3 linked regions of the Caenorhabditis elegans genome follow. The protein of the gene in region 3 purifies or fractionates together with the protein of the main gene of each other region. This does not show direct contact. Each region holds a gene or a part of one and is shown on either strand. Other genes may lie near its edges.

Evidence for each region.
Region 1: the proteins of Y47G6A.33 (region 3) and edg-1 fractionate together in Caenorhabditis elegans (co-fractionation; one large-scale study listed by BioGRID). This does not show direct contact.
Region 2: the proteins of Y47G6A.33 (region 3) and rab-14 fractionate together in Caenorhabditis elegans (co-fractionation; one large-scale study listed by BioGRID). This does not show direct contact.

Annotation. Positions count from the first base shown.
Region 1 is NC_003282.8:11,316,609-11,328,616, reverse strand, and holds edg-1 (Protein edg-1), read right to left. Parts: upstream 7,818-12,008; 5' UTR 7,812-7,817; coding exon 7,728-7,811; intron 7,678-7,727; coding exon 7,565-7,677; intron 7,516-7,564; coding exon 7,245-7,515; intron 7,201-7,244; coding exon 5,935-7,200; intron 5,829-5,934; coding exon 5,645-5,828; intron 5,586-5,644; coding exon 5,364-5,585; intron 5,321-5,363; coding exon 5,277-5,320; 3' UTR 4,981-5,276; downstream 1-4,980. Other genes in the region: leo-1 (RNA polymerase-associated protein LEO1), read left to right, coding at 16-110, 159-258, 311-641, 712-851; B0035.21 (Kinesin motor domain-containing protein), read right to left, coding at 1,048-1,111, 1,158-1,261; his-45 (Histone H3), read right to left, coding at 1,619-2,029; his-46 (Histone H4), read left to right, coding at 2,288-2,599; his-48 (putative histone H2B 4), read right to left, coding at 3,501-3,872; his-47 (Histone H2A), read left to right, coding at 4,178-4,561; B0035.18 (Mitochondrial cytochrome c oxidase subunit VIc/VIIs domain-containing protein), read right to left, coding at 7,974-8,097, 8,149-8,297; gspd-1 (Glucose-6-phosphate 1-dehydrogenase), read right to left, coding at 8,840-8,927, 8,981-9,157, 9,209-9,410, 9,463-9,600, 9,662-9,963, 10,022-10,274, 10,319-10,394, 10,811-11,017 and 1 more. UniProt on the Caenorhabditis elegans protein: Plays a role in regulating deps-1 cluster formation in the germline.
Region 2 is NC_003284.9:15,601,661-15,612,666, forward strand, and holds rab-14 (Ras-related protein Rab-14), read right to left. Parts: upstream 4,976-11,006; 5' UTR 4,957-4,975; coding exon 4,851-4,956; intron 4,705-4,850; coding exon 4,460-4,704; intron 3,968-4,459; coding exon 3,849-3,967; intron 3,786-3,848; coding exon 3,623-3,785; 3' UTR 2,975-3,622; downstream 1-2,974. Other genes in the region: ent-2 (Equilibrative nucleoside transporter 3), read left to right, coding at 1-70, 477-571, 658-1,170, 1,220-1,305, 1,350-1,664; Protein nipi-3, read left to right, coding at 6,312-6,893, 6,947-7,143, 7,273-7,624, 7,672-7,852, 7,904-8,559; K09E9.3 (Transcription initiation factor TFIID subunit 5), read right to left, coding at 10,473-11,006.
Region 3 is NC_003279.8:3,559,130-3,569,527, reverse strand, and holds Y47G6A.33 (C6 domain-containing protein), read right to left. Parts: upstream 5,489-10,398; 5' UTR 5,441-5,488; coding exon 5,389-5,440; intron 4,860-5,388; coding exon 4,573-4,859; 3' UTR 4,460-4,572; downstream 1-4,459. Other genes in the region: lpd-3 (Bridge-like lipid transfer protein family member 1 C-terminal domain-containing protein), read left to right, coding at 856-1,308, 2,094-2,231, 4,148-4,285; Y47G6A.22 (DeHydrogenases, Short chain), read left to right, coding at 6,684-6,705, 6,758-6,990, 7,944-8,123, 8,175-8,281, 9,259-9,322, 9,376-9,534; Y47G6A.21 (DeHydrogenases, Short chain), read left to right, coding at 9,732-9,896.

The sequences.
Region 1 (12,008 bases), on a different chromosome or scaffold from region 3:
TATACAATTTTTAAGGTGGAAAATACACTTCGCTGGCGAGTTCGCAAAGATGAAAATGGAAAAGAAATTCGAGAGAGTAATGCAAAAATTGTAAAATGGGACGATGGAACGTTAGTTTTCAATTGATGCAAAATTTCCATATCGTGACTTAATTTCAGAATGTCTCTATACCTCGGAAACGAAATTTTCGAAGTCTCATTGGTGCCGCTGAATTCCAATAATCTTCCCCATCTTTACGTTAAGCAGCCAACATTAATGGTATTTTGATTGTTAATGTTTTTATTTTAATCAAAATTTATGTCATTTTTAGTCGGCTCAAGCTGTTCTTACACATCGTATGACCTTCCGTCCTCACTCGACTGATTCCCAAACTCACAGAAAAGTCACACTCAATATGGCAGATCGAAGCAGGAAGAATGCTCAAGTTAAAGTCATGGACGATGTTGGTCAGAATCCGGAAATTACACGGCGTGAGAATGCCCGGAAGGAGGAAGAATCACTTCGTGCACACATCCGACGTACTCAGATGGTTCGGAATAACTTTAAAGTTCGTGGTCCGAGATATGCAGGACAATATTCTGATGATGAAGATATGCCAACGTCATCCAGAAAAGGAAAGAAGAAGGAAGCACCAATTATTGGTAAGTTCAATTTAATTTTGATTAGGACTTTACCAGAATAAAGAAACTGTACTACAATAATATATTTCAGGTGCCAGCTCAGAAAGTGAGGACGATCATGCGGATACCACAAAGAAAAGCGGATCGGATAGCGATTCTGATGAAGAGTACCGAAAGAGAAAACAACAACAAAAGAAACAGATTGTCACCAGTGACGAAGAATCTGACTAAATTTATTTCAATTTTGATCCTCACAATTTTATATTTCGCGAATTCAATATTTCTCCCTTTACAATATTTCGAAAATGTTTTCCTTTCCTTATTTATTTTAGTCTTCGATATTTCGAGATAATGAAACATCCACAATATTATGAAAAACCGAGCTTTTATTTCTTAATTTCAATCAGATTGTATGTAATATTTAAAATCATACATCCACTACGTCTTCCTCGCTTCTCAAAGAATTGGCATCAAGTGTCGTATCATAAATTCTGAAACTTGAAATAATCTACGATTTCAGAATTCTCAAAATCAAACCTCCGTGTTTTATCGTTTTCCATTGCTCTTGGGGAAATCGATACATTTAATATCAACTGAGCTTCTTCTTGATTTCCAGAGCTTCTCGATCGCAGTAAAAACATCAATATAATGATTTGAAAGAAGATTCCATAAATTAAAATTCGAAAAACTATAGGTTTTGACTTTTGATTCCAGAGTATTTTAAACATCTTTGTGGAAAATGTAGGAAATGATTTTTCACGTTTGATAAAGAAACTGACTAATAAATTTTTACATCTAACAACAAATCTTTGAATCAATCATATTATAATATACACGGAACCACTATGTCCGAAAGATTTAAAATTTAAAAAAATTGAAATTGAAAAAAGTATTCATTGAATATTAAAATGGATTTGAGGATATTTGTGGCCCTAAAGAGGGCCGTTGGGTTCGGTTAAGTTTTGAGATTAAGCTTGCTCAACTACCAAAAAAGGTATTTAAGCGCGCTCTCCTCGGATGCGTCTGGCCAATTGGATATCCTTTGGCATGATGGTGACTCGCTTAGCGTGGATGGCACACAAGTTGGTGTCCTCGAAGAGTCCGACAAGGTAAGCCTCGGCAGCCTCCTGAAGAGCCATGACAGCGGAAGATTGGAATCGAAGATCGGTCTTGAAATCCTGAGCAATCTCACGAACAAGGCGCTGGAATGGTGCTCTGCGGATTAGAAGTTCGGTTGATTTCTGGTAACGTCTGATCTCACGAAGAGCGACGGTTCCTGGGCGATAACGATGTGGTTTCTTGACTCCTCCGGAAGCTGGAGCCGATTTGCGGGCAGCTTTGGTGGCCAATTGCTTTCTTGGAGCCTTTCCTCCGGTCGATTTACGGGCGGTTTGCTTGGTACGAGCCATTGCGTTTAGGTTGATAATCCGTGGGGACTGTAAAAAAGAGAAACCAACGACTGCCTTTGTACGCAGCTGCGGTGGGAGGGCGGGCGGGCGCACTTCTGTCCTTGTGGCAATTAGAACATTCGGTGTGTTACAGACAAAGGAAAGGTGTCCTCGCAGAGTGGTGCAATGTGACTCCGCCTAGCCACCACAGCTGTGTACAAAAGGAATACTGTGATGTCATTTCTTCATCTCACTTGTGAGTCTTCAACGAATTCAACAATGTCCGGACGTGGAAAGGGAGGAAAAGGCCTTGGAAAAGGTGGTGCCAAGCGCCATCGCAAAGTTCTCCGTGATAACATCCAAGGTATCACCAAGCCAGCCATTCGCCGTCTCGCCAGAAGAGGAGGAGTCAAGAGAATCTCCGGATTGATCTACGAGGAAACCCGTGGAGTCTTGAAGGTGTTCCTTGAGAACGTCATCCGTGATGCTGTCACCTACTGCGAGCACGCCAAGAGAAAGACCGTCACCGCCATGGACGTCGTCTACGCTCTGAAGCGCCAAGGAAGAACTCTGTACGGATTCGGAGGATAATTATTATCTTTTCTGTTTTCATACAAACCAAATACCGAACCCAACGGCCCTCTTTAGGGCCACAAATATCCAAAATCCTAATTGATCTCGTTAAATAAATCTTAAATAATTTTGATTTTTCTATTTTAGCATTTTCAAATACAAGTTGACATGATATTTTCTTTATTGCTTTGCACAACTACATACTTTTTTTAAATTTAAAATTAGAATTGCATGCAAGTAGACATTCGGTATTCGATTTTCTTCGTTCGTTCTCAATTTTATTTACAAAAGGGTATATGAAAGTCTGCACAGTTTTGTTTCCCGAACCATATGAATTCACTTTATAATTCAAGTTGGTGATCGAAATGATTTAGATATCCAAGAACATGAAGCGGAAGAAAGCTTGAAGCCTGAAAACCAGTGCCTGAATCATATATCTCGCCTGATATCGGAAATCAAGTAATTATTTCATAGCGTTTTTTCAAACTTCTTGTAATTTGATGTAGTAATAGTTTTTCATAACATTTTTCAACCAATTTTGTGAGATGACCCGAGATTTTTCCAACAAGATTGAAAACCGAAAGTTTTTATAAGCCTCGGCCATTAGCTTCCCTTTCTCTGTGCAACTTCATAAACTACGGAAATACAAGTTTTTGGAAATATTCGAAGAATCCCATCTACAATTTGAAAGATAGAATTCCGAAGATGCTTTGAATTTCTCTCTCTGAAAGAATGACTTTTAGAAAATGAATACTGGGTTAATCTCAAATTAACTGAACTTGGAAAATGCAAAACCTGAAAATTATGAAAGAGTATAATTGAAAATTATTTATTCACTTGGTTAATAACATAGGATTATAAGATTTGTGGCCCTAAAGAGGGCCGTTGGGTTCGGTGGGGTAGTTTTCAGCCTAATGGCTTACTTGCTGGAAGTGTACTTGGTGACGGCCTTGGTTCCCTCAGACACGGCGTGCTTGGCAAGTTCTCCTGGGAGAATCAAACGGACAGCGGTTTGAATTTCGCGGGATGAGATCGTTGAGCGTTTGTTGTAATGAGCAAGACGGGAAGCTTCCGAAGCGATGCGTTCGAATACATCATTGACGAAGGAGTTCATGATAGACATGGCCTTGGAGGAGACTCCGGTGTCTGGGTGAACTTGCTTGAGAACACGGTAGATGTAGACGGAGTACGATTCCTTGCGGGCATGACGTCTCTTCTTTCCGTCCTTTGGCTTGGCAACGACGGTCTTGGCGGCCTTCTTGGCTCCCTTGGCAGATGGCTTTGGTGGCATGATGAGAATGAACTTGAATCAAGTATGAGGAAATGGTTGGAGAGACACCTATTTATGTAAAAACTGCGGTGGAGGGGCGGAGCTTCCCGCGGGGACACATTACTGAGTGCACACAAAATTCCGAATGTACCGAGGTTAATAGGGGGACAAAGAGAAGTGAGAGAAATGTGTCCTACCAGAGAGTGCGGAATGTTCAAATAGAGGTGTCCCCGCATGAAACTCCGCCCCTCCACCGTAGAAATGAATATAAACAGACAGTTTCGATTCATTCTTCAGATTCGTCTTACGAACACCAATCGCTCATCATGTCTGGACGTGGAAAGGGAGGCAAAGCCAAGACCGGAGGAAAGGCCAAGTCACGCTCATCAAGAGCTGGACTTCAATTCCCAGTCGGTCGTCTTCACCGTATTCTTCGCAAAGGAAACTATGCTCAACGTGTTGGAGCCGGAGCCCCAGTCTACTTGGCCGCTGTTCTTGAATATCTCGCTGCTGAGGTTCTCGAGTTGGCCGGTAACGCTGCCCGTGACAACAAGAAGACCCGTATCGCCCCAAGACATCTTCAACTCGCTGTCCGCAACGACGAGGAGCTCAACAAGCTTTTGGCCGGAGTGACCATCGCCCAAGGAGGAGTTCTTCCAAACATCCAAGCCGTTCTTCTCCCAAAGAAGACTGGAGGAGATAAGGAGTAAGAACTTTCTTCTTTAAACAAACCCACCGAACCCAACGGCCTCTTTAGGGCCACAAATATACAAAATCCTACTTTTTCCCATTAATAAATTTTTTAATAAAGTTCATATTACATTTATTTTTAATAAGTTGTTTGCTTGAATGCAATATTGTTATAAAGTTTTCTACCTTCCATGTTCTGTCAGAAAACGTATGAGGAAATTCTAGAATTACGATAATTACAATTTTTCAATCCCATTTTAATAAATTTTGTATTGCATTTATAAGCGGTCTGCTTGAAATTCGAGCCCTGAATGCAATATTGTTATTAAGTTTTCACCTATATTTGACGATCGGTCAGAAAACTAAGGAAAACCATGAGCTAAGCCCTGCATACCACCCCATCCCCCACTATATCACAATGCCATAATAAACAAAGAAATTCGCGTCCTACCGATTTTATAAAAATGAGCGGTCTCATGGGATAATTAAGGGGTTAAAATGTTCACGGTGAGGTAGAATAAATCGGGAAAAATTATAAAAAATTCAGAGGGAAAACAATTAATCCCGAAGTCTTTGAAATGGGTAGAAGTTCCATCACGAAGACTTGGTGGGCTCAAAATCAGTGTCAGGTAAAAACCTGCATAAAGCATTTTACAACAAAAAACAAGAACGAAAAATTAACAACAAAGTAACAAAAGGAACACAAGGAACATTATAAGAAAGTTTCAGAGACGATCAGTCTGCATAACGAGAGAAATTCGAAGAGTTGCCATATGCGCCTGCAATAATTATAATTGAAAAAATCAGCATTAAAATCCATACTTGATGTTGTTGGCTTCACGCTAGATTCAGCGAAAAATGAACTATTGCAAGGGGACGCTGGGCGTGTCCAATGCTCCATATTTTTCTCGTTTTCCGCCCACAAATCGCGATGAAGTTGAGCCATTTCCAAAGATTTGGTTGTTGCAAGTTGCTGGCGTAGTAGGCGTTCATGTCGTGCAGAGTCACGAGATTCCTTGATACCAGGAGCAACGTAACGGTACTCTGCAAGAAATCAGAATTATTAATGAAATAATAATTACTTTTGAATTATATTTTCTTACCAGCTGGTGGCCAGCTTTCCAACGTTGCTTCGACTGGGATAACCAGAGGCTGAATGATTTCCGATTTCTTTATATCATGACTCCATCTTGGCCCAGTCTTTTCATATTCTTCTGTTGGAATGAGCTCTATGATCGATGAAGCGATACGGTCGTGGTCCGATTCCGACGAGGTTGAGCCGAAAACCTGTAAAGTTAGAAAATCAGAAAAGACACGACGAAAAAGCATTCCATTCATTTTCAGTGTATTTTTCAAATTAAAATCTTTCCTAGTGACAATGACAAAACATTACCTCCAAAATCTTCCCAGAGATCTCTTTGATACGCTGTGGACCAGCGTTTGCGATCTCGAAATTCTCCTCAAACGCCGTCTTCATTACTTTTTCCAGTTGTTCTGAGGATTCGAACGTGACTGAACTGTGACGCATGAGTTCGTCGGCGCACGAGATGTCGAACACTCCCATTGTGATGATACAATCGAGGTATTCCGTGAGAACTTCAATTGTTGGATCTTCAAAAACTGAGATGTTTTGATCAGTTTCGGGTGGAATTTCCTCGAATATCACTGCGACAAAAGCGGGCTTACAGCTTTTCACTGCCTCTACAGAAGCCTTGGGCTTTGGGCTCAGATGCAGTTGATTCATCTCCAGATTATCAACAGCGGTGTCCGATTTATGGTCAATAGATATCGCAGTTTTCACTGAAGATTCAGATGATAGAGTCGAACAACGTTCTTCGTCTTCTTCATTGATCGATTGATCAACAGTTTCGCTTTCCTCGATATCGAAAGTTCTTTCGTCGAATGTCTCCTTCATTTCTGCATTGATTGCTTTGTAGACTGCTGATGGAATGCGTCGCTTCTCAACTTCCAGAGCCTTGAACCACGTTGAGATTGCGAATTCTAAGGTCCACGGAAATTCTTTCAAAACCTTAGAAGTTAAGTAGCTCTTCGCTTCAGCATCGAACGGTTGCTCCATGTTTTGACCAATCGCCTTGAGAATCATTTTACAGTTTTCAATGACTGTATTCGATACGTTCTCGTCAACAATAATGTTGAGCAAGAAACAAATAATCGAAGGAGTCAAAAGAACATTCTCAGCTGGTTTAGTTCTCGCCGACGTGGCATACTTCAAATTATCGAAGTTTTCAACAATTTTCACAGCAATTTCGCTCAAAACTTCCACTGATATCATGGGAGTTCTGTTCTGAGTGTAGAGTTCGCAAAGCACCACTTCCAGAAGTGGCCATGCAGACATCAACGAGGGTTCCTGTCCTGAGCATATCACCCTTGCGAGTTGTTCCAAATTGCTCCACTCTTCGTCACTTGTATCCACCCAGCGCTTATTGAAAATCAATCTGCGGAAAACCAGAGCCATGAGTGATTCAACGCGATCGGTTTCGTATTCAGTGTGATATATTTTCAGCGGACGATCGAAGAACAATTGTGGCACTTTTAGGCACACATTTAAACAAAATCCAGTGATTTCGAAGTTCTTGAGGCATCGAGTGAAAATGTCCAGAAGAGTGGTGACTGGTGAGAAGAGCAGGTGCCAGCGCAACTGAAATATCAATATGAACTTTGTTTCAAAATTATAAATCCAACCTCTTCCTGAACATCGTCGTCGACCTCTTCAGGATTTTTGACAATTTCATCCAATAATCTCGCAATTTTCTCCCTGAATCGGGGAACGAGTGTTTCGAAATATGGCGTATAATCAATTTCGTGATATTGCCATTCCTTAACGAATTGCTCCTGGAAAAACTGCTTGCTCGGCTCCGTGAGCATACTGTACAGTTTACGCATGAGCAGGATGTAGTCTTTGCTCAGTCCGACGTCCTTTTGAGTTACACCTGCTTGGAAATACTGCATCGCACTGAAAATTTGTATAAATGAGGTTATTAAAGGTGACATTGTTCACATACTCCATTGACAGGTTAGAGGTGTAAAAGTCATAGACGAGGAAATCGGATCTTCTGTCCAAAAACTGCTGAACTCTGACCTTGTTCACATCGTACTTCTTGTAGCTGTAGAAAATCTGAAATAAAAAATAAAATATATTTATAAGCTAAACAATTGGAAACTCACATCCTCCAGCTCCTGCACCCATTCTTTGTTCATATCAAGAGTTTTTTGATCAGGCAGTTCGTACGAACTCTTATTCTCGACCATTTTTATCTATAAAGGGAGGTTTTTCGTGGATAGAAAATTTTAGATAAAAATATATGAATGTGGTACAAACCACAAAGTACTGATCAAGAATAAAACAAATAACTGAATAAAGAAATGATAGACTTTATTGACTTGTATTATTATGAATAATTTATCAAACATTTAGTGCTCGGCAACAACTTTCCCTTTCTCTTCGTACAATTTCGCCAATTCCTTTGGACAAGTATGCATGTACCCCTTGTTAGCAGAACAAATCTCTTTCATTCGAGTGTACGAATCGTAGTTTCTGCAAGTTTGCTCGTTGCCCGGGAGACACTTGTGCGAGGATCACACTGACGCGAAAAACTCTTCATATTTGTTGTGACGTGGCCAAACGTAAAATGCGTTGAATGCGGCAGTCGAGACGACAGCGACAGCAAGTGAAACGTAAATTCCACGTTTTCCATATGATTGGAGCATGTTCCGGGTAGCGGAAGCAGCAACCATGGCTGAAAAAAAGAATGAGTAATACGATGTGCAGCTAGCAAGAAAAAGACGTAAAACAAGAAAGACGTTTTTTTTTAAATCAAAGATATTGATACTTTAAAACATTTGTGCAAAAATGATGGGAAATCCGATGGAAAATGATAGAAATCCGAAGAAAATATGATTGAACTTGAACAAGAATTGAACAATATGATGATGCGCGACGCAACACGCGTCGCACGTCCACTACTGTAGAAGTAGAGTGTATGCAGAGTGTTTGCGGACTGGCGCACCGTAACCGGCTTGTCGAAAAAATGATTATTTTTTGAATACAGATTATTTAAAATAAGCCTTTTTACTGGCTTATCTTATCGTTCTACACTTCTTTTAACTGAAAACGTATTTATTTTCATTCATTCAATAGAACATTAACAAATGAAAAAAGAGCAGGAATAATATTGATGTGGAACACAGGAAAACATATGAACTAGTAGCTGCTGAATTTTTGAAGTTATTTCTACAAACATTTGAAAGAGAATGAATAGAGGAAGATCTGGTATCATTTATAGCTTTGGAGCAACCCATTTGTATGTTCCAGTGAAGATGAAACCGTACTTTTTCATCAATTCGTCACCTTCAGTTGGACCACGACTGAAAAATTGGATTACTGTATTTAATTTTAAAAAAAAAGAAACACAACCAACCTTCCAAATTTATATTGAACCGGTTGAACTTTCTTCTTTTTAAGCTCTTCGAGAACTGGCGTCAAAATACGCCAAGCGTATTCAAGCTCATCAGTTCGAACGAAATTAATTTGAGATCCCATGAATACTTCGAGAAATAGGCGTTCATAAGCATCAGGAAGACGGACTTCTTTGAATCTGAAATTATCACAATGAAATTTTTTTTGAAGAGAAATTTCAAAAACTAACCTATTATTATAAGTCAAATCAAGTTCAGTTTCTTCAACACCGAATCCCATTCCAGGTTTCTTGGTCATCAGTTTCATGTAAACTGCCTCATTTGGTTGCACTCTCATCACTAATTCGGATCGCTTTAATTCACCAGACGGATAGATATCTCCACTGACTTCTTTGAATTGTATACGAACTTCTGCTTTCTTCTCGTTGAGAGCTGCAATAATATTGAAATTTAAAAATTCGGTTTTTTTTTGTATATTCCCTACCTTTTCCACAACGCAAGAAGAATGGAACACCCTCCCAACGTTCATTATTGATGTGAACAACAGCAAGAGCATACGTTGGAGTAGTCGAATCGGCTGGAACTGATTTGTCATCTTTGTATCCTTGTGATGCTTCTGGGTCTAAAATTAATGTATTTAAAAATCAAAACTTTTATAAAATTGTAATTTTTGAAAAACTCACGATCAAATTCAGGACTGGCAATGTATTGTCCAACTACTACATCCTTTAATTCTACAACTTTAGCAGCTTTCAACACTTTGACCTTTTCATCACGAATATCTTCAGCATTCAAACTTGCTGGTTTCTCCATGGCGACTAAAGTTAGAATTTGCATCAAATGATTCTGCATAACATCACGGATAATTCCAGCTGTATCAAAATATCCAGCACGGCCACCAGTTCCAAAATCTTCTTTAAATGAGATCATAACTGATGCAATGTGATCGCGGTTCCAAGATGGAGCGAGAATTCGGTTTCCAAATCTGAAAGTTCAAAATAAAATTATAAATCTCTTCAAATACTTTGAAAAAACATTCTTACCGCATAACCATCAAATTCTGAACCATTTCTTTTCCGAGATAATGATCAATACGGTAGATTTGATCTTCTTTAAAAAGTTTCGCCAAATGAGTTGAAAGTTCACAAGATGATTTCAAATCATGTCCAAATGGTTTTTCTATGATAACACGTGTCCATGAATCACCATGATCCATACAATTCTTCTTTAATTCCGTAGAAACCACGTTGAAAACTGATGGAGGAAGAGCGAGGTAGTAGAGACGATTGACGGCTTCTATAAATTTGCTTAGATTGAGTGAAATTTAATTCTAAACCTACGATTATTGCTTTCTTTTTGGAAATCATCAATTGAAGATTGAAGGCGTTGGAATCCTTCAGAAGTGTCGTATTGGCCCTGAAAAAATGTCAATGGTGCTTTTTATGTTCAAAGTTTCTAGAAAAAAGCTTCGATTCAAATTTTTATTACCCAGTAACAAGATTTTGTGCGAAAAATACGGTAACCGGTCTCGACCCCACAATTTTTGTTGAATGCAAAAAAGTGCGCGCCTTTAAAGAGTACTGTAGTTTCAAGTTTTTGTTGGTTTTCGTAGTTTTCCTACCTGATTTGTAAAAAAAATGTATGTGTTGCAATTATTTTTTTTCAGTTTTAAAACAATTTTTTTAAAATCTGAAATCGACAAAAGCTTGAAGCTACAGTACTGTTTAAAGGTGATACGTTTTCGCATTTAACACAAATTTGTGGTGTCGAGACCGAGCACTGTATTTTTGGAACAAAGTTTCACGCCTATTTATTAGCAGATGTAGATTTACCTGAACGTATGAGCACTTCTTGATGAAGTCATCAAAAGCACATTTCTCATTTTCTCGAACTTTACAGTTTTTCTCAAAAGATTCACGAAGCTTGAAAACTGTCAGATCGGAACGGGCATATCCAATAAATTTGATGTTGACTGGCAAAAGGTTGTCACGGAACAACCACCACAGTGTTGGGTATATTTTCTTTTTTGCGAGATCTCCCTGAAAAAATGTTAAATAATTAATAATCGATATATATGGAATAGATGTCATACCGATGCTCCAAATATCACGAAAACGTACGGAGTCTCAAATTTGAGATCTCTTTGCATTGATTCACGAAGACACTCGACGAGATCCTTCGAAATGGGATCGGACACTGAATGACGTTTGCATGCCATTTCTGTAAATTTATAAACTAGATTTTGAAGTGAGAATGACGAACATTGATTCACAAAAATTACTCGTGTTGAGAGGTAAATAGTAGAAACTACAAGTTTCAAAGTAAACCATCTAGATACACATAAATGTTATTTAAAAGTGAGATTATTGTTTCATTTATACAACGAAAAATCAAAAAGAAATACGTTAATTGATATATTGATGTACTTCATAATGATTCTGCGCAATTCTTTTTTACTGGCAGAGTAATAAACTGCTTACTTTCAGCTAGTTACATTTAATGGAATAATGTTAATTTCTAGCACTAAAAAATGTAATTTTTCCTTTCGAATCATATACCTAGTAGCGAACCGCAGTCTACAATATAAATGAATTGGAACAACTGGAACAACACTATAAATCGGTCACTTTTTACTCCACTTCCATTTTTTTCACAGGGCAGCGAGAGAAGAAAGAAACAGTAAGAGAAAAGTGGATGCGCCAGTCTCTTTACAAACATGAAAATATTTACTGAAATCTTCTCGGGTCACAAAAAATGATGACTGAATGAAATTGTGTAGTGTGTGCGAGTGGTAACCATGACAAATAATGTTCTCTGGGCGACATTGATCGACAATGAAAAGAAACAATGTATTTCTCTAGGAAACATAAAAACTCGAGTAACTTGACTCTGGAGAAGAGACGAAACTTTGTAACTCTAGATTTAATCTATGGTTCTTGACTTTTAGTTGACCGACTAGGATATTCTGGAACACATTTTTTTTGGATTTTATCTGGAAGATGAATTCTTCGAAGACTTAGTCTATCAGAG
Region 2 (11,006 bases), on a different chromosome or scaffold from region 3:
GCTTCCAAACAATCGCTTCCCAAGTGCCGAACCTTCTTCTCAATCTTCTCAACATCTTCATTGTCGTCAAGTAAGGTCATCGTCGCTTATCAGCGCTGCCAACTTGTGGCATGCGAGATAAGTGCCAGAGGTCGACAGAAAATGATGAATTGATGCGCCGGCGTTCGCAACAAAAAAAATGTGACACGCGGGAGAAGGTGTCGATTGGTTTCTTTAAGATCTACGAATTAGATTGAGAAGTTGGTATAATTATTGAAGGGGGTGTCTGAAGAAAAAGTGATCAAATATTTTTTGAAAGCGTGGTCAATAAGGTAACATCAATAAAAGTTTTGAAGTTAATTCTTGAATTGAATTGCTCCAAAATCTGAGAAATGATCCTGCCACAGTACGAACTTTCATAATGCTGGTCTAAAAAACAAGTCACAATTAATTCAAAACTTTTTTTTAAATTCCAAATATGCATCTTCAATTTTCAGGGGAGGACTTGCTGGCCGCATCACTGTCGGACTCTCCATCGTAGCTGTCTGTGTGATCACTACTATGATCTTCATCTACGTCGAAACCTCCACATGTGAGTGATAAGGACACGTGAACTTTTTTTTGCAGATCATCAAACATCGATATCTTCTTTTTTTCAACTAATCTACATACTTCCAGGGCTCACTGGATTTTTCACTCTTACCATCATCACAATCATCGTGTTGAACGGAGCAAATGGAGTCTATCAAAACAGTATCTTCGGCCTCGCTTCTGAACTTCCATTCAAGTACACCAATGCTGTCATCATTGGAAATAACTTGTGCGGAACATTCGTTACCTTGCTCAGTATGTCAACCAAGGCTGTCACTCGCAACATCCTGGATAGATCATTCGCCTACTTTTCAATTGCGTTGATCACATTGGTCTTCTGCTTCATCTCGTTCCACATCCTTAAGAAGCAACGCTTCTACCAGTTTTACAGCACACGTGCCGAAAGACAACGCGCCAAGAATGAGGAAGCAGCTGACAACGAAGGAAAGATGGCAAACTACATTGCGACCTTCAAAGAGGCTTTCCCACAACTTATTAATGTATTTTTGGTGTTTTTCGTCACGCTTTCAATCTTCCCTGGAGTCATGATGTACGTTAAGGATGAGAAGAAAGGAGGAACCTACGATTTCCCATTGCCACGTGAGTTTATCACCAAGCTGGTAAATTTAAAAAAAAAATTAAATTTTAGAGAACTACTTCATGGATGTTACCACATTCCTTCAATTCAACGTGTTTGCCTTCATCGGATCAATCGTCGCCGGGAGAAAGCAATGGGTAAGTGCCTCTGAAAGTTGACAGAAATTAAGTCTTTATTACAGCCCGCCCCGAACAAGCTCTGGATCCCAGTCTACCTCCGTCTCCTCTACATCCCATTCTTCATCTTCTGCAACTACCTCCCTGAGACCCGCACACTCCCGGTCTTCTTCGAATCCACGTGGCTTTTCATCATTGTGGCCGCATCGATGAGCTTCGGAAGTGGATACTTCTCAGGACTCTCCATGATGTACACTTCAAAGACTGTCGATCCATCAAAGGCTCAGGTGGCTGGAATGATGGCTGGATTTTTCCTCATTTCAGGAATCGTCTCAGGTCTCATTTTCACTATGGTCATCAAGTTTGTCGTCACTGCCTAAATTTTTCAAAAACTTCTAACATTAAAGACACCTCATTAGCGCAATCAATGCTCTAACCAAAAATTCTTGCATAACAAGAACATTGCATTGTATCTTATTTTTTACTAACCCAATTATCTTCCCTTCAAGGTTTCAAAATATTAATATCGTTAATTTCAAGTGCACTTACTATTAGTTTTCCTTTTTTCTATCCTTTAAATACCACTTTGTATTTCCCAAATACCTCAATCTATTAGTTGTTTCGTTGTTTTTCTTCTCTTCCTTCCTCAAGTATTATCGCAGCTCCATCTCGTTGTTTTTTTTCTTTATTCTGTTGCAATTTTTACGACTATCCCTTTTTGTGAATAAAGAATGCTTGTTAAGGTTAACATTGTAAAAAGCTGTAATATATGTTTTCAAGTTTTGGTAGTTTATGTAAGATCTCCACAAAATTATAAATTATTTGGTTAATACTATTTTTGAGTAATTATAAATGATTGTGGTATTAATTTGTAAGCCTATCCAGGTGCTGTTTTTTGAGCTTATTATACATAGTTTCTAGAATTCAATCGTTTTCCAATTCTTGTTGTTCACAACATCTATGAAAAATTAAGATCTCATAAAGATTACAAGAAAGTTTAGGCTATGCCTAAGCGCTTCAATTGCACTGGTGAAGCGAAATGTGCTTACGCAAATTTTCAAATTTCTGACAGTTTACTAATTTAGGTGAGTAACTAGAATCAGGGGTGGGCGGCAATTGCCTTTCGGCAAATTGAATTGTCGACAAATTGCGGGGTTGCCGATTTGCCTGAAATTTTCATTTTCGGCAAGTTGCCGATTTGCCGTTTGCCGAATATCAGATTTCCCGGAAATTTTTAGAGGGACTTTTTATAGAACGGAAACTCTTAAAACCGTTTTTTTTTGAATTTTTTCCGTTTTGTCTACATATTTTCATAGAATTTGCTTACTTTTCGAAATAGATGTAGGAATATTCATAGGATGCGTAAAATTTTGTCATTTGAAATTGGAATTCTAAAATTTCCAAAAAAATAAGTGCGAAACCACAATTTGCAGAAATTTTTTGGCAAGTTTCTTTTTTTCCAGCAAATTTGGCGAATCGGCAATTTGCCGATTAGCCGATTTGCCGGAAATCTGCAATTCCTGCAATCTGCCGATTTGCCGATTTGCCGGAAACAATCGTTTGCTGCCCACCCGTGACTAGAATCCCATTTCAGCCACGGATTACTCTGTCATTAGAAAAATTTACGCACACTTGAAAACACATTTGACTATTACTGGTGATGTTAACTTTGAAGATTGAGCACTTCATGCTTCAATGAATAGTTTTTTTAAATATTATATGTACAATTGAATTTTGCTGAAAAATGATTAAACAAAAAAAATAAATTTTGAAAAAGTTTTCTGAAATCATAGGTTCATAAAACTAACAACAGAGAACTATTTATAAGGAAAAGTGACAAAAATGACAAAAATCGTTAGTTTTTTTGATTTTCAAAGCACAATTATAGCACTTAATGGGGTGGGATCATATAGATGTTTCTTATCACACAAGGAATGGGGGAAAAATGTTCAAAACGGTTTTTGACAGAAAAAATCTACTAAATATGCAGTTGGTTGGGTGAGCGAAAGTGTTATATTATGAACGGTTCACAGTTCGATGATGATAGTGAGTAATGGGTGGGGGACTGAAAAAGACTGGGAATTGGTAAGTAAAAGTGACACAAAGTTCTGAATTTCAGAGTAGTTTTATAGTGATTACAAGTTTAGATTTTGACAGGCAACTAGAATTTGGAAACAAGAAACCATACCACCCAATGTTGATTCTTCTGGCATTTTAATGATAATGGGTGACAAGCTCTCACATACAGATAGACGGATTAGAAAGTAATAATTTAAAAAAATACATTAAAATCAATTGGGAATGATTTGAGGGGAAGAAGGGACTTTGCACACATCAACTAGCAGTTGCAGTCCTTCTTCCCATTATTTTCAGCTGCACGTGGCAAGTTCTGTTTTGGCTGGACGCCAGTGTCGGCGGCGTTCAAGTCCAAACTTCCGTCTTGGATATTCTGATAGATTTGCTTGGCCGTTTCGAGGAAAGCGTCTTCGACGTTACTGCCACTGAAAAAAAAGCCATTTGAAATTGATGAATTTGCAGTGGGGGGGTGGGGGGAAGAAACTTACGTCTTCGCACTGCACTCCAAGAAAGTGAGCCCGTTTTCTTCGGCGAAAGCTTTTGCTTCCTCGTATGGCACGTCACGTTGATCTTCGAGGTCGGCTTTGTTTCCGATAAGAAAGATGGCCTGAAAAAGGAACTTGTGAGAATTGGTGCTTGAATCTCATTTTTATTGTAAAATTAAATCAGTGCAAAGTGGACGAAATACTGTTTTCTTACTAATACAGGTAGATTTTTAACTCTCCAAATAAAACTAGATAACCCAATTTTAACTCGTTTTTTTTAGATATTAGTTTAACGATAAAACACACAATTTAGAGCACATACAGATTGAATGTTTTCCAGCTTAAATCTGATTCATGAGAATTTTGATTGAAATTCAGTTTATAGTCTACGATCTTTTGAGCTGCAAATAAATGTTATGCTTGCAAAAATTCATAAATTGCAATTTACTAAACATGGCGTACATCTATGTAGTTTTGAAATTTTGCTGAAAGTTCAAATTCGCTTTAATTTTGGAACTTGGGAATGCTTTTATAAAGTATAAATTCGAGTTTTTATATATTTTTCAACCCTACTTTTGAGTAAAAATTATAAACCAAGTATATATTTTACCTACCGTATTTGGATTGGTCAAGCTTTTTGCGTCGGCCAACCAGCTGCTCAAATGATTGTAGGTAGAACGGCGAGTGATGTCGTAGACCATCAAGGCTCCGGCTGCTCCACGATAATATGATCGCGTCACAGCGCGGAATCGCTCCTGGCCCGCCGTGTCCCAGATTTGAAGCTTGATCTTCTGTCCGCTGACCTCAATAATCCTGGTGCCGAATTCCACGCCGATTGTGTGCGGGCAGTCGGCCATGACTGAAAGTTAGTTATAGTTAGTTTTTGCGTTTGTTGCCCGCAGTGATTGTACGGTGGTTATTGACCGGAGGAACAGGTCTCTTGTTGATGACTAATGTTGACACAAACAACATGATATATCGATTTTCCAGGAATGCGGGACTTACACTTCTTTTCTGTGAACTGATGAAGAAGACACGATTTTCCGACACCCATATCACCAATAATAATATATTTGAAAATATACGAATAATTGTAAGGAGCAGCCGTCATTTTTATGTGTTTTTGTTACCTGAAAGTTGCGGATTATATTTTGGTTATTCGTTTCAGAAAAAAGGATACAAAAAAGTAGCAATGAGAATAGATAGACCACACAAAAGAAAGTGGCTATTAGAGACTGACTGCCAAGTTGTCATTAGTTGGAAGTAGGGGAAAACCGACGGGGAGAGAGAGACAAATGTGGAAGTAGTTGGGATAGAGAAAGATGAACGCCACGTCCAAAAGCAATAGAGAATCCATTGGCCTCCAGAAAGCTAAAAGAGGCAATGTCGGAGAGAGAGAGAGGAGCAGTTGTACGAGGAGTGCTACGCAATGGAATATCACGAGGAAAGAGACACTGGACAAAAACGGGGGCCCCTCCATTCCTCTATCTCTGTCTTCTCTGAGAAACGACGCGTCGCGTACTATCGACCGCGACGCTTGCAACGGAACTGGTCTCTACTGCGTGTCTCTAACGTCTCGCTCTCGGTGTGCGCTGTACTGTGCTGTCTGACTCTCGCCTTATGTGCCGCGTAGGAGACGGATTGGAGATGAAGAAAAAAACACGTAGAGAGACAAAAAGAGAGAAGAGTGAAATGACGAGTGAATGCGCACGTGTGTGTGGGCTCTAGCTTTTCTCCTTATTCATCTGTCATTGGTGTTGAGCCAGCTATCTTTTTCCTTGTTCCAAAGAGATCATGCTTTTTCTTTTTCATATACGTAGATGCCTAAGACATGGAAAAAACAATTATTTCCTCCTGCTTCTTGTTTTGCTCTTCAAATTCATCTTCAGAACAGAGTAAAATACTATAATATTAAATATGCTTAATAGCCTAATCAAATTGCAAATTATGACTTCAATTTCCAACCATGGCTCCCCTAATCGGTTACAACTCGTTTGTGAACAGTCTTACAGTTCTCGAGACATTTGATTTTATCACTATTCGACCATCTACCCACTCATTCTCTATCTCTCGTTTCGGTCCCCGTAGTTTCCTTCTCTGACACTTGTGTTGATCGTAGTGCCGCGATGATATTTCGCAATACCTGCTGATGCACGAGCTTCTCTCATCGCCACGCGCTCTCTTCCGATTCCTCTCGTCGTTTCTGTGATATGTGAAGAAGGGCGGTCCTCCCTCTAGTCATCTACAATGTAGTATTGCGAAATATTAAAAAAAAAAAAAACGGAAAATTCATTGTGAAACCCTCGCAGCCAGTAATGTTTCGCAATAACACCCCTTCATTCTTACCAATTCTAGGGTTATCATTCTTTGCATTTTCTTGTCTGTAGTCTACCAACTTTATCTCATTTGCTTCTTCTCCTTTTGTAACAATGTTCCCTAAACATTATTTTTTTTGTTTTTCAGGGTATGGCTCGTACAAAATGCAAAACCAAAACCGTAGCCAATCCTAGAACTGGAGTCAGAAAAACCGCAAAAGATCTTTCTGAACCAGTTCGTCAGGATGCCGTTTCAAGAAGGAGGCCCACAACTCTTCCTTTTGTTGGAAATACCTCAAGTCGTCCAAGGGTGTTTTACGATGTTCTAGCCAAGAAGAATGTCGTCTTCCCAAATGTCAAAGCAGAGTACCACTATAGAGTTCGCAATGCTCCGAAGATTGATCCAAAGAATTTTGGCACGACGCTTCCAATCTGCTATTCTTCAATCGGACCTGCAAAAACACTTGAACTTCGTCCACTGGGTCGTCTACCCCCGCACATCATCAAAGCGTTGAATGATCACTACGTGCAACTGACACGTGGATCTATGGTTCCGGCTGCGGATCTATATAACAATGGAGATCATCCAGCAGAACAACGCATACCAACAATGTTGAATGAGAATGAGTACTTGCGTTTGATCCAGGAACTCGAGGAAGAGGAGAAGTCGAAGCAGTTTTCAGCTACATCCAGCTCCGCACCACATGTGAACCCATATAGTGCCCAACACTTGGTGAGTTGAAATTAAAATTTGAAATCTTCTCATTCAAAAGAATCAATGTTAAGGTTAACGGTGAAATTATCGGAATCTTTGTCATTTATGGAACTGGTCTTGTTACTCGCGCTGTTTGCTCACAAACTCGCGAAATGTTTACCGCTCACGTGCTTCCTGAATGGAAAGCGTCGAAAGTGATTGACGTCATTCGACGACTTCAAATCCCCACCGACATCTCATCCATGACCGCTGATGAAATCCGTTTAAGGTGAGTCAAAAAAAATGCTCATATGATGAAACAAAGGGGGGATTATGAAATCATTTAAAAAGTAAAAGTCAGAATCGGGACGCTGACGTCATAAAGTCAGAAAGTTGATACAATCTTTGAATAATTCAGCGAACTCTGCATATCAAAGAGAATGGAAATTATCAAGAGTAACGACAGATACATTCTTATGAATCCGTGCGAATCGGCTACAATTCACTCCTACGCCACCGAGCGTCTTGATGAAATAACTGAAAACGACGTGATGAGTATCTACCAAAAGGTTGTGGAGATTGTTCGATTTTGTCATTCGAGAAAAGTGATTCTCCAAAACTTCAAGCCTAGAAGCTTCTACCTAAAGAAAGATGCACATAACAAATGGGTTGTTCGTCCGTGCTTCCTTCAAGACATGAGCTGTGAGGAAGATCAGTCCGAAGCGCAATTTACTCGTAGATCAGTTTGCGTTCCATTCATGGCTCCGGAGGTTTGCAGTTCAAATATTGTTCCACATTAAAAAACATAAAATTTCAGATGCTCACTGCCGAGTCGAGAACACATCATAGCTATAGCACCGAGCTTTGGGGACTTGGTGTCTTACTGTACATATTGCTAACTGGAAAGTATCCATTCCATGAGAATAGTATGCCACTGTTGTTCCGTACCATCAAATTCAAACAACATCGCTGGCCGTTTAATTTTATATCCTCCAAAAGTAGGTCAAAGTGAAAAAATTGAAATGGTTTAAACTCCGCGCCTATTTTAGGTAGAAACATTGTGAACATGCTGCTAAAAAAAGCACCAGCAACCCGAATGAATCTCGAAGATCTGTGGAATCAAGTGAATGGAGATTTCCCGGAAATTAGATGTCGTTCCAACATAATCCTGAAGAAACAGGATATGATTGTGAAGATGGACCTGTTCGAGATGTACTACAACACCTATAAAGATCGACTTCTTCCGAAAAACGTACTCCCAATGTATGAAGAAATGAAGGCTTGCAGAAATGATTCAACAATTCTCACCGAAATGGCAAAGAGAGATTTTCGCTCAATTCAAGAGCAGATGAAACGTCGAATTGAAACGAAACCAACTGAATATCAAACATTAGTGATGCAAGTTCGCCTGCAACAGATCAACCAACTATTCTTCGAGAAGGAAGTAAGCCAAGCCCAAAAGCAACATCGTGCTCCAAGACTGGTCCAACTGAAATGCAGTGATATATCGAAAGAGCTACTGCTTCCCGGTGACATTTACCCAATTAGCGAACATTATCACCCAAGCCAGCAGCCAGTTGATAAAGTCGTCTACAAGCTTCTGTCCGACGCCAATTCGCTGGCGTTTCCAACTGTTATGAAAGGGACCGTTCCGAAATCATATCCACCTCCGGTGTTCAAGGGACTTGACATATCGCCCTCCTAAATAGAACATGTAAATAGATAGCTAGCTTTCTTTATGTACTTTCCAACTTTCTGTATGTTCTCTCGCATCCTTGTAATTAACTCGTCAGAAATTCTTATTCTACCAACTTTCAAAATTCCGAATATTTTAGAAAATCTGTAATGTAATTCAAGGTCGACAAACTACCTCTATGGGTGTTTTATTTATCATCATGTCTGTTTTTTGTTTCAATCTCCAACTTCATGTAACTACTCTTATCTCATATAAGGTCTGCCAATGTGTATTCCTCCCTGTCTCCTCCCAGTCAGCATTCAAACTTTCGCAAGAAGTTTCGATACTGTAGCACTGCTATAATATACATATTCACAAAACTCTTTTACAAAACCGATAAGCCTGTGAATTATCAATAAACATTGGGTCACAAACGACGAAATAGAATTGCATTCGAGATAAGAACTTTATCATTGAAAAGTGAGCAGAATTCATTGCAAGCAGAAAGTTCGATTTCGCAACAGACACGTCTCACGTGCAAGTTGGTAATTTGAAAAAGTCATGCAACATTGGAAATTGAAAATAAAAATGAAAGTTGTTGACTGCTAGAATTAGAAATCATGGGCACTGTTTACGAGAAATATAGAAAGGGTTTTTTGGATTAATGAGGGTACCTAGGTAACTTTTTTTCCGTTTCAAGAAATTGAACATTTTCAGTAGTACAAGTTACAAGATAACTTAGCTAGCAATTTTAAAAATTTGAATTGTCTAGCTTAAAGCATACTTGCGGAATTCTGAATCATTTAGACGGCACATGTTCAAAAATAGATCATTTTGGGTCTGGAAGGAAATGTACAAATTTGGCAAATAGGCAATTTGCCGGTTTGCCGATTTGCCGGAAATTTTCAATTTCGGCAAGTTGCCGATTTGCCGTTTGCCGGATATCAAATTTGCCAGAAATTTTAATGGTATTTTTTGTAAGACGGAAAAACTTAAAACTGTGTCTTTTTTGAATTTTTTTAGTTTTGTCTGCATATTTTCTTAGAAACTGCTTACTTTTCAAAAAATAATAATTCAAAATAGAATAATATTTATAGGATGCGTACAATTTTGCTATTTGAAATTGTAATTCTAAAATTTCCAAAAAAGTTAGTGCGAAATTACAATTTGCCGAAAATTGTTCGTCAAATTGCTTTTTTTCCGGCAAATTCGGCAAATTGACAATTTGCCGGTTTGCCGATATGTTGAAAATTTCAATTCTGGCAATTTGCCGATTTGCCGGAAATTTCAATTCTGGCAATTTGCCGATTTGCCCATTTGCCGGAAACGATTGTCGCCCACCCCTTAAATGTAGTCACAAAGCAAACCAACTTTTATAAATACAGTGTCGGCCAAAAATATGTGCGTTTTTGGTTTTTCAGTGTTTTTTTCAATCAAAATTAGTATATATAACTCTGAAAATGAAAATTTCGGAAAAAAGCTTAACTAACAAGCTGTTGCTCTCACTTTTTTCTACACACTGAAATATTTTTCGAAGCATCAAAAAAATAATGGCATTACATACAGCGCCCGAGATCTCGTCAAAATTTAATTCATCAAAAAGTAATTTGATATTATAAATTCATTATTTTTATGGTTAACATTCAAAATAATTTTTAAAGGATAATAAAATAAAGGTGAAAATAGGTGATATTTAAACAAAACACAGGATGAATGATGAAGAGATACGAAGAAAACAATGCAATTCCTGAAACAGTTGAATCGGGTGGAGATGTGACATGGTGCAACAGAGATGGCAATATAAAGCTTTGAACAACCACAATTGTTATTTTATTAAAGCGGTGAATGAACTTTCATTTTATGCCTAAGAAATGAAATGGAATGGGAACAAATATTTTTTTTTGTTTCGAAACTTGTTTTGAGAACATTCAAGCTAAAGACAGTCAATGCTTACGCTTGGCTGAAAAAGAATGGGAGGAGGAGGAGGACGAAGCCTCGTCTCGGTCCTTGACTTTGTGCTTGCGTTCGCGACGCTCGTCTTCCTCATCCTTATCGCGACCTTTATCCTTTTTCAAGTACTTTGAGCTGTGCTTCCCATCGTCCGAACGGTTCTTGGCCTTTTCCTTTTCCAATAGACTACGCAATTTTGCATTTTCCTTTTCCGCTTCTTCAAGTTTTTCCTGGAGTCTTCGAATGTTTCTGTCATCCGATGACAAAGCCGACTTGGTGCCCAAGCACTTGCGAGCCTTTTCCCAAGCGCCACCAAACGATTCCTTCAAAACCTGCAGTTGAGTGACAGTTTCCGCGTCCTTCTCCTGAATGTCGTTTGCCAGTGTCTCTATCTCTTTGACAACTCCATCTAGCTCTTCGCCAATTTCTTTATCGTTATAAATATTGAACATTGCAGTGAGCTTCTGCTGTTGAATGCGTTTCTTGAACAACATCTCTCTATTATCGATACCAGCCAGGTCCATGTT
Region 3 (10,398 bases):
TTAATTTTAAAATAATATCGTTTCGTAAAACTTTTTCTCTAAATATTCTCTGAAAACCGAAAAAAAAACATTACTGTTTTTGAAAAAAAAAATCGAACTTTTTCGATTTTTTTTAATTGAAAATATTTTTCTCGCGCACAATTTTTTGGTTTTCTCAAAAAAAAATCGAAAAAGTCAAAAATTACTGTTTTTCAGCAAAAAAACCTGGTCTCGACACGAAAACTGCATCGAAATAAAATTAAATTAAAAAATTTTAATAATGTTTTTTTCTTTAAAAATAACAGGCTAATTTTAAAAATATTTCCAAAAAAAAAAAATTAATTCAAAATCATTTTGTTGATTTTTTCAATTTAAATCAATTTAAATTCATTTTCTAAAGTTTTACCTGCCAATTTCGAATATTTCTCTTAAAAATTCGATATTTCTGAAATTTCTGAAAATTTTCTCGGTAGACATTCGTTAAAAATTCATTAGAATGCGAATAAATTGAAAAAAAAAACGGAAAAAGTAATATCAAAAAATTTAATGAAGGCTACGCTTTTTCTGAAATTTTTGCATTATACGGAATCATACAACGAAAAATATTATGTTTATAATTTTTCCTGTGAAAGTTAAAAAACGAATAAGGAATATTTTTTAAAAAAATGCAGTCCAAATTTGAAAATGGGTTTTTTTTTCTAATTTCAAATTTTTATGATTAAATTTGACGATTTCTAATTTTAAAAAAGTTAATAACGCTCCGAAATTTAAAGTAACAAATTAAAAAAAAATACTTCTGGCACTTAAAATAAGAAAATAAAACAATCTGGAAACTCAAATTTTCTGTATAAAAATACAAATTTAACGATTTTTCAGACAAAAGAATCGGGTCCTGCCACGAATCACAATGTGATGGAACTCTTCCAATTTCCGGGTCTCGAAGCGAAAATGTCGTCACAACAACTGAACGGAGTCGATGATGGCGACAAGTATGAATCAGTATTCCAAATGCCAATGGACGTGCTCACGACATTTGTGTGTGATTTCTTCAGTGAAGTGGCGATTGAGACGAATTTCAACGCACAAGTCTCATTCTTGCCGGAACTTTTGAAAAGCTATCTGAAAGAATCACACAGTGGCACATCATCATCTCATTCGACAAATTCGTCTCCGGCAGTGTCTTCAAGTAAAGAATCAGTTGTATCGGAAACTAGCAAAGATCCTCGAATCTTCACGTGCCAAGAATGGAAAGTAGAGCCGAGAGTTCGATTTATTGATCGAATTAAATGGACGCCTCCGGTTCTTGATGATATTCTCAAAAAACTTCAGGTCTCAGCGTTTTCATTGAAAGTTTGAGAAAAAATGCTTCTTATTAAACCTATTTTCCAAATATTTGACATGGTGCATCGAGTCGATGCGCCATGTTTTATTTGGATATGACCCAGCCACTAAATGTTGCGATTTTTGCGCCGCGTTTTTTTTTGAAAAAATTACAGTAAAAAGTTGATAAGATGCTCAAAAAGGGTTTTTATTTTTTCGCTTTTTTCGAAATAAAAAAAAGAAAACTGCCGAAAAATGTGATTTTTTGGCCTTTTTCGAGTTTTTAATAAAATTTTATTTTTTTGGATTCAGTCCTGATTACCAGACGTAAAAAATATAAAATATTGCGATTTTCGTTCCAAAACTACGGTACCCGGTCTCGACACGACAATTTTTGTTTAACGAAAAAAGGCGTGCACCTTTAAAGGGTACTGTAGCTTCAAAATTTTGTTACTGCGGAATTTTTATAATTTTTGGAAAAAAAATATAATTATTAATTAAATAACCAAAATATTGCAATGAAACACACACACACACACACACACACACACACACACACACACACACACACACACATTTTAACGAATTACGAAAAAAATTGAACTATCCGCAGAAACAGAATTTCAGTATTACAGTACTTAAAGGCGCACATATTTTTGCATTTTACAACAATTTGTCGTTTCGAGACCAGGTACCGTATTTTTCGGCGATAAAAACGCAAAACTTCACGGTTGGGTAATAATTTTCTGCAAAAATTCAAATAAAGTTTATTAAAATTAAAATACATCTTCCAGATATTCGATCATCGAAATACGATTCCAAAAGTTATTCAGCGAGCAGTGCTCGATCCACTTGACGCCACACTTGCCGCTTCAGTGATTGCCACTTTGCAAATTGTGGATAACAAGAAAACGATTCAGAAATTCAAAAAGGTTAGGATTTCGGAGTTAAAAAGACATATTTCTGGAAAAAAAGCCAAAAAAAAACGTTATTTAGTTATTTTTAAAATAAAAAAATGATTACCTAAAGTTGAATTTTTTTTAATGTACTCAAAATTTAAAAAAAATATGGAAAAAATTTTTTTTTTCGCTTTTTCGATTTCTCGATTTTCAAATTTTTGGAAATAGGAAAAAACTTAATTTTTTTTGTTCGGAGATTTGCCGGAAATTTTCAATGCCGGCGATTTGCCGATTTGCCGGAAAAATCGCTTGCCGCCCACCCCTGCTCCACATCCTCCAAATTTGGCAAATACTGTTTTACTACTTGATCTTTTACTACGTATCTCTTTTACTACAAGATCTCTTTTACTACGAATTCCGCATTTAGATCTTTTACTACAATTGGCTCTTTTACTACGTGATCTCTTTTACTACCATTTGACCACATAGATCTTTTACTACGGAAAATACTTTTTTACTACCTCATTTTTTACTACGTGGATCTTTCACTACGGTTTCATATTTCGATGTTTTGCTACAGTTTGTATCTTTTGCTACGGTAGACATTTTTACTACAATGGCAGGGATTGTACTTTTCACTATGTTTCGTATCTTTTACTACTAATTTTTTACTACGAATTAAAAATTAATGTCTATAGTATTTTATATTCTAGATATAAACAAATGTATGAATAGTTTTTTTTAATACATAGGTCATAATTGTAAATGGAGTTAATGGAGGGAGACTGTTGGGTTACTGTAGTGGTATTGTGGGAGTAATTCTTTTTTTTTCGCGTAGCCAACAAATTAGTTCCATACCCGTTGCTCTATAAGTTTTGTCTATAATGTCTATATGTATAAGTCTATAATGTAATAAAAAACTTGTGGGTTCGGTCAGTTATCTGTCAGGTGTTTAAAATTTTGACTTCAGCTGACATTTTGAAACTTTTGATCAACACTTTAGAAATGTTTTTTTTCTAATCACGATTTTAGATTTGAAAAAAAAACGGAGATAAGTTGTCAAAAGTTAGTTCATAAAACGTATTGACTCCAAGTACCGATAACTCCGCGAGAAAACAATTTGGTAAAAAAATGTTCAACTGACAAATCGTAGATCATACCATATTCAACAACTTTGTAGTTGAAAACTATGACAAATAAATTGACGACCGAGATAGGATACCTACATTTTCATTTTCAGAAAATCTTCTGAGTTTTAAAACATTTATAGAGGACTTTTTAAATGTTTCTGGAATTTTTACAAAAGTTTTACAAGAGAGCAAGAGATCATATCGTGTTTTTTTTTAATTTCTAGATCCAAATGGCCATAATAAGTTCTGCTCATTTCATAGTGAATAAATTTCTAGAAATTAAAAAAAAACACTATATAATCTGAAAACTGTTATTTCCACAATACCACTACAGTAACCCAACAGTCTAACCCCATTAACTCCATCTACAATTATGACCTATGTATTAAAAAAAAACTATTCATACATTTGTTTATATCTAGAATATAAAATACTATAGACATTAATTTTTAATTCGTAGTAAAAAATTAGTAGTAAAAGATACGAAACATAGTGAAAAGTACAATCCCTGCCATTGTAGTAAAAATGTCTACCGTAGCAAAAGATACAAACTGTAGCAAAACATCGAAATATGAAACCGTAGTGAAAGATCCACGTAGTAAAAGATGAGGTAGTAAAAAAGTATTTTCCGTAGTAAAAGATCTATGTGGTCAAATGGTAGTAAAAGAGATCACGTAGTAAAAGAGCCAATTGTAGTAAAAGATCTAAATGCGGAATTCGTAGTAAAAGAGATCTTGTAGTAAAAGAGATACGTAGTAAAAGATCAAGTAGTAAAACAGTATCTGCCTCCAAATTTCAACAAAAAACCAAAATTTTCAGAGTCGAACGGACTCGATGGCACCGACACCAAAACGACGAGACAGCCGTCGTTCGAGCGAAGAAGTTTCCGTTTCAATCGATATTCCCGATATTATTACAGATATTTCCGACGCCTCGTTTAGACCGAAACACAATTAATTGATTTTTTTTTTCTCATGTATTTTCTAATTTTCTAGTCAACAATTATTGGCCAGCAGCTTCTTAATATTTTCTATTGCCTGATTTACGGTTTTTTTTAATTATTTATTTTTTTCCTCCAATTTCTGCTTCCACAAATATTTAAATGTACCAAATAATTTCCAATGAGCTTCTGTGATTTGTCTATTTTTATTTATTTTTTTCTGTGAATAATAATTCATTTGTACTAGTATTTATTAGTTTCATTTGATAAGTTTCCTAACAATTTTTGGATTATTTATATCTTATTACGAGGATCCACACGCAAACGCAGAAAGTGTCTGACTTTGTCCGGGCACACTGATCTTCCATTTCGATCCATCACACTTGATGCTTCCTTTTGATCCAACTTTACTCATTGGGGTCACGAATTCACGTCCCTGTTCATTGTAGTACCAAACATCAGAGCCAGCGGGGCATTTTATCGAATATTGATTGCCGGAGCCGGTTACAGCTTGAGAAAATGGAGCGAAATCGCAGAGGGGACAATTGACTCGGCGGGGGAGGTAGATGCTGGAAATGCCGGGGCAGCCACCTGGAAATTATTCAAATTATTCATTTAGGGCCGCATTTGCGCGTAAAATTTGATGCATTGGGTCAGTGAACTACGACAGTGCACCATGTTTGACGCGCAAATTCGAAAAAAAATTTAATTTTTGGGGAAATAAACAAATTCCCTGTACAAAATTGATATTTTTGAAAACACGTGGTGTCAGGCTGTCTCATTGCGGTTTGATAAACAAAAAATGCGGGAATATTTTTCCGGAAAAATTGTGACGTCAGTAGGCTCTTAACCAGGCGAAATAAGATGAGAAGTCTGCGTCTCTTCTCCCGCATTTTTTGAAGATCAAAACCCAAATAGGACATTCTGACTCCCCTTACGAAAATTCACTTTTCAAATAATCTGGCGAAAAGCAGAAAAATTCGTCAAATTTTAAAAACTATTTATAAAAAATCCTATTTTTTCATTAATCCCATTACACTTCTTTTTTTTAATGAATTGGGTGATTAAACATTATTCGAATTTTTTTTTGTTGAAAAATCAATAATCTCAAAAAACCCACCATAGACAGTGACGATCAGAATCGTAGCCAGTAGAACAATGATCTTGAACATTTCGCCGCTGACCTATCTATCAGTACTCAAACCCTAATTCTCAGCCTTAAATATCGTTACTGCTGTTTTTTTTTCGGCGACGAACGCTCACCCCGCCCCACACACAAAACTTCCTTCATCATGATTGATTAGTTTTTGAATTGAAACGGGAAAAAAAGACTGAACAAAGGGAAATATTATTGAGACGTAGAAAAATGCGCTTTTCACGGTGGTTCAGTTGCTAGATGGGTGCAAACGCACTCCACCGAACAAACGTGCATAACTTGGGCAGGAAGCACAAAATCGAAAATTCATCACAAATAAAGATAGGTATATTCATTGCGGTCATTTCTTATATGCATCGCAAAATCGATTTTGTGATGGTTTTCGAGATAGTAGCCAATATAGGTTTCCAGACTGACACGGACAACTGAAAAGGATCCGCCCCCAAACGTTGGGTCTCGTCAGGTATTGGCGAGACAACCGGGAATTTTTATGGTTTTTTGCCGATTTTACTAGTTTTATGTGTCGAAATTAAGGAAAATCAAATTAAATAACGGTTTTCCCTTTTAAATGCAATTTTAAAAACATAATTTCGATATAAAAATCTTGAAAAAACACGAAAAAATGCTTGAGAACAGGTGAAATCGGCAAAAAAGCGGTAATACCTAACGAGACCCAACGTTTGGGGGCGGAGCTTTTCCATTTGACCGTGGAGCGCGCTTGCACCTCGATTTCAAAAATCGCATTTTTCTGCATCAAAATTTTACGATTTTTTTCTCCATATCTCGACACGACAAATATTTGTTAAATACGAAAAGGTGTGCTCCTTTAAAGAGCACTGTAATTTCTCGTTTTGGAATTTTCATTGACACAGTACTCTTTGAAGGCGCACATCTTTTTACATTTAACATACATTTATCGCGACGAGACCAGGCACCGTAGCTTTGGCACAAAAATAGCAATTTTTTCAAATATCAACTACAGTAACCCACAGTTTGACATGGATTTTGAAATAAAAAAGTTTGCGCGTCAAATGTGATGCATTGAGTCATGTACCTAATGCACCACAGTTTACGCGCAAAAAAATTTGGAAAAGTTGAACTCCTGATGTGTGATGTGTTATCAGGAGCGGAGAAAACAAAATTTGTATTTTTCTCTGGGTCTCGTTTTTTTAGGATGCCGTTTATTATTTGTTTCAAAGATTTTTTTTTCAATTTTCAATTTTCAATTTTAATTTTAATTTTGATTTTGCAGGTCAACCATGCCCGTCGCAATTGTCACAGGTAATAATGACTCTAAATACTTGAAATTCCATTCCTCTCCCCTCTTTTCCAGGTGCAAGTTCTGGTATTGGACGTGCGGCGGCTCTTCTTCTCGCCCGGAACAACTACAAGCTCTCACTTACCGGACGGAATGTGGCGGCTCTCAATGAGCTCGCCGGGCAAATTGTCAGTGCTGGAAGTGATAAGAATGATGTACTGGTGACCGCTGTTGAGTTGGCTTCAGAAGAAGCTCCGAAGACTATTGTGGATGCGACTGTGCAAAAGTTTGGACGAATTGACACATTGGTGGGGGGTTATTTTTGGAAAGTTATAATAAAATTTAGAACTATTACGGGAACATAAAAATAAATAAAATTCTGAGAATTCGTACTGCACAACATATTTGACGCGCAAAATATCTCGCAGCGAAAACTACAGTAATTCTTTTAATGACTACTGTAGCTCTTGTGTCGATTTACGGGCTTGATTCTCATAATCAAGATAATAAAGCCCGTAAATCGACACAATCGCTACAGTAGTCATTTAAAGAATTACGGTAGTCTTCGCTACGAGATATTATGCGCGTCAAATGTGTTGCATTACGCATTTTCAGGATTTTGTGTTCCCGTTATAAAAAATTTTAGTTCAAAATTCTTTTTGAAAACGTAATAATTGCGAATTTTGTAAAAAAATGCACAGAAAATTATCCAAATGTGAAGTTTTGCGACTACTATTGCGTTACAAATACGGTATCTGGTCTCACCACGACTAATTTTTGCAACTTGTAAAAAGGTGCGCGCCTTTAAAGAGTACTGTATTTTCTTTTGTTTCTGCGGAATTTTCATCGAATTTTATACTTTTCGATAAAAAACTGTTTGAAAAATTAAAATTTATATATAAAAATCGAAGGAAAATTTGAAAAAATTCTGTAGTATATGCGAGTACTGTAGCTCAGTTTTGCACCCAAATTTAATTATTTTTTTTAAAATTAAAATTATTTTTGTCGCATTTCACATTAAGATTCAGAGATCTTAGAATTTTTATTTTTTAAAATTTTTTGAGAAAAAAGTTTGCGCGCTTTTTTAGATACTTTTTTTTTCGAATTTTCCAAATTTCTGCCTAAAGAGTTTTCTCATTTTTATTTTCGAGAAAAATTGCACCAACCTGTAAAAAGAAAATATGGGGATAACGAAAACATTTAAAAAAACTCTCCAACCGATTCTTGAATTATTAAACCCTTAAAATATTCTAAATTTCAGATCAATTCGGCCGGGATTCTGCGTGCCGGACCAGTTCTCGATTCTGGAATTGAAGTCTACGATGAGCTAATGAATGTGAATGTTCGTAGTTTGATCCGCCTGACACGTGCAGCTCTTCCACATATTATTACAACAAAAGGAACTGTTGTCAATGTCAGCAGTATTAATGGACCGTGCCCTGTATGATGTTATTTTTTTGTTGAAAATAATTTTCAAATTCGCAATTTTCAGTTCCCAAATGTAACCTATTACTGTATGTCCAAGTCGGCCGTAGATCAATTCACAAAATGTTTGGCTCTCGAAATGGCTCCGAATGGAGTTCGTGTTAATGCTGTTTGGTGAGTTTTCTCGCGATTTTTGCCAAAAAACTACGGTGCCAGGTCTCGAAGCGATCGATTCTCTTTAAGGAGTACTGTAATTACGATTTTTTCGGTTTTTAGGTTTTTTAAAGAAATATTCGAAAAATAAGAAAACATATACATTTCTTCCAAAAAGAAGAAAAATTGTCAAAATTTCAAGATATTTTGCGAAAAATCGGAAAAATATTTATTTTTGAAATCGAAAATATTTTTGGCTTTTTTTTTTTCGAAAAATCGAAAAATTATCGGAAAATATGAGTAAGAACGAAATCACAAAAAAAAACTAGGAAAATTTCCTGAAAATTCTAACTTTTTGCCGAATTTTCATAGGTTTTCTTGTTTTTGTTCAAATTTTGATGCATTTTTATATTTTTTGAATAAAAACGAATTTTTTAAAAGACAGGAGCTAAACTATGGAAAATTGCTTTAAAAATCTCGCAAAAACTAGGAGTAAGTAACTACAGTACACTACAGTACTCCTTTAAAGGCGCACGCACTTTTGAATTGAAAAAAAAAAGATCGCTTCGAGACCGGTTACCGTATTTTGGTGCAAAAATCGCTAACTTTCTCATTTTTTGTCGAATGAAACGCTAACAACACACGTATTACGGGAACACAAAATTTTGGGAATTCGTCTTACGCAACATATTTGACGCGCAAAATATCAAAACTACAGTAATCCTTTAACTGACTACTGTACTGCTTGTGTCGATTTACGGGCTCGATTTTGGAAATTAATTTATTTTCTTCGTTTCTTCGTATTATTTTCTCATTTTCAATAATCTTTTGATAAATAAAAAAACCCGTAAATCGGCACAAGTGCAACAGTAGTCATTTAAAGAATTACTGTAGTTTTGATATTTTGCGCGTCACATATGATGCGCAATACGCATTCTCAAAATATTGTGTTCCCTTAATAAACCCATATAAATTTGTCATTTCTCCAAAAATTTCAGCCCAGGGGTCACCGTGACCAACCTGCATCGTACATCTGGTCAAGACGAGACAACATATTCTGCGGTATAAAACCTGCTGCACTGACCTTGACAAATAAATATCATCATTTCTTTCAGTTCTTGGAACGTAGTAAAACGACACACGCACTCGGCCGTCCCGGTGATGCCAATGAAGTTGCTGAGGCAATCTATTTCCTCGCCTCTGAGAAAAGTTCATTCACTACTGGAGAACTTCTTCGTGTTGACGGAGGCCGCGGAATCATGCATCCGAGATAAATATTAGCTTTTTTGTCTCATATTGAGATTGTTTTGAACTTTTATCATGTAATAAATAGAGAGATACATGTATTTTTTTTAATTGTGTTTTTATTGAATCCTTTATAGTGGTTTTTTCCTTGCTTAATTTTTTTTTTTTTTGAAAAAAAATCGATTTTTTTTTGATTCAGTTTTGAATTTATTCAGAGTATCCGAAAATGCCAGTCGCCATCATCACCGGAGCAAGTTCGGGAATCGGAAAAGGCACGGCTCTTCTGTTCGCGAAAAAAAAGTACCAACTCTCGCTGACCGGAAGAAATACGGATTCTTTGAAGGAAGTCGCAGCACTATGTATTTCAGAGGGTGCAATTTCGGCTGATGATGTGAGTTTTATATTTTAGGAACTGTGACGGAAAGTACAGTATTACGGGAACACAGAATTCTGAGATTGCGTATTGCGCAACATATTTGACGCGCAAAATATCTCGTAGCGAAAACTACAGTAATCCTTCAAATTACTACTGTAACTCTGGTGTCGTAAATCAACACAAGCGCTACAGTAGTCATTTAAAGAATTACTGTAGTTTTGATATTTTGCGCGTCAATTATGTTGTGCATTACGCATTCTCAGAATTTTGTGTTCTCATGATAGCAGTTATCACAAAAAAATTTCGATTTTTTTTCCTCGTTTGTAATTTTTGGAAACACCGTTTTTTTGTCGAAAAAACAAAAAAAATTATTTTTTTAATTAAAAAAAACCGCCGCCATGGTCTTGACACATACAAAAAAAAATATTAAAACTCATCGAATATCAAGAAGTATACTAAAAATCATTAAAAATTACAAACACTTGCAGGTACTGTAGCTATGAATTTTATTATGTCG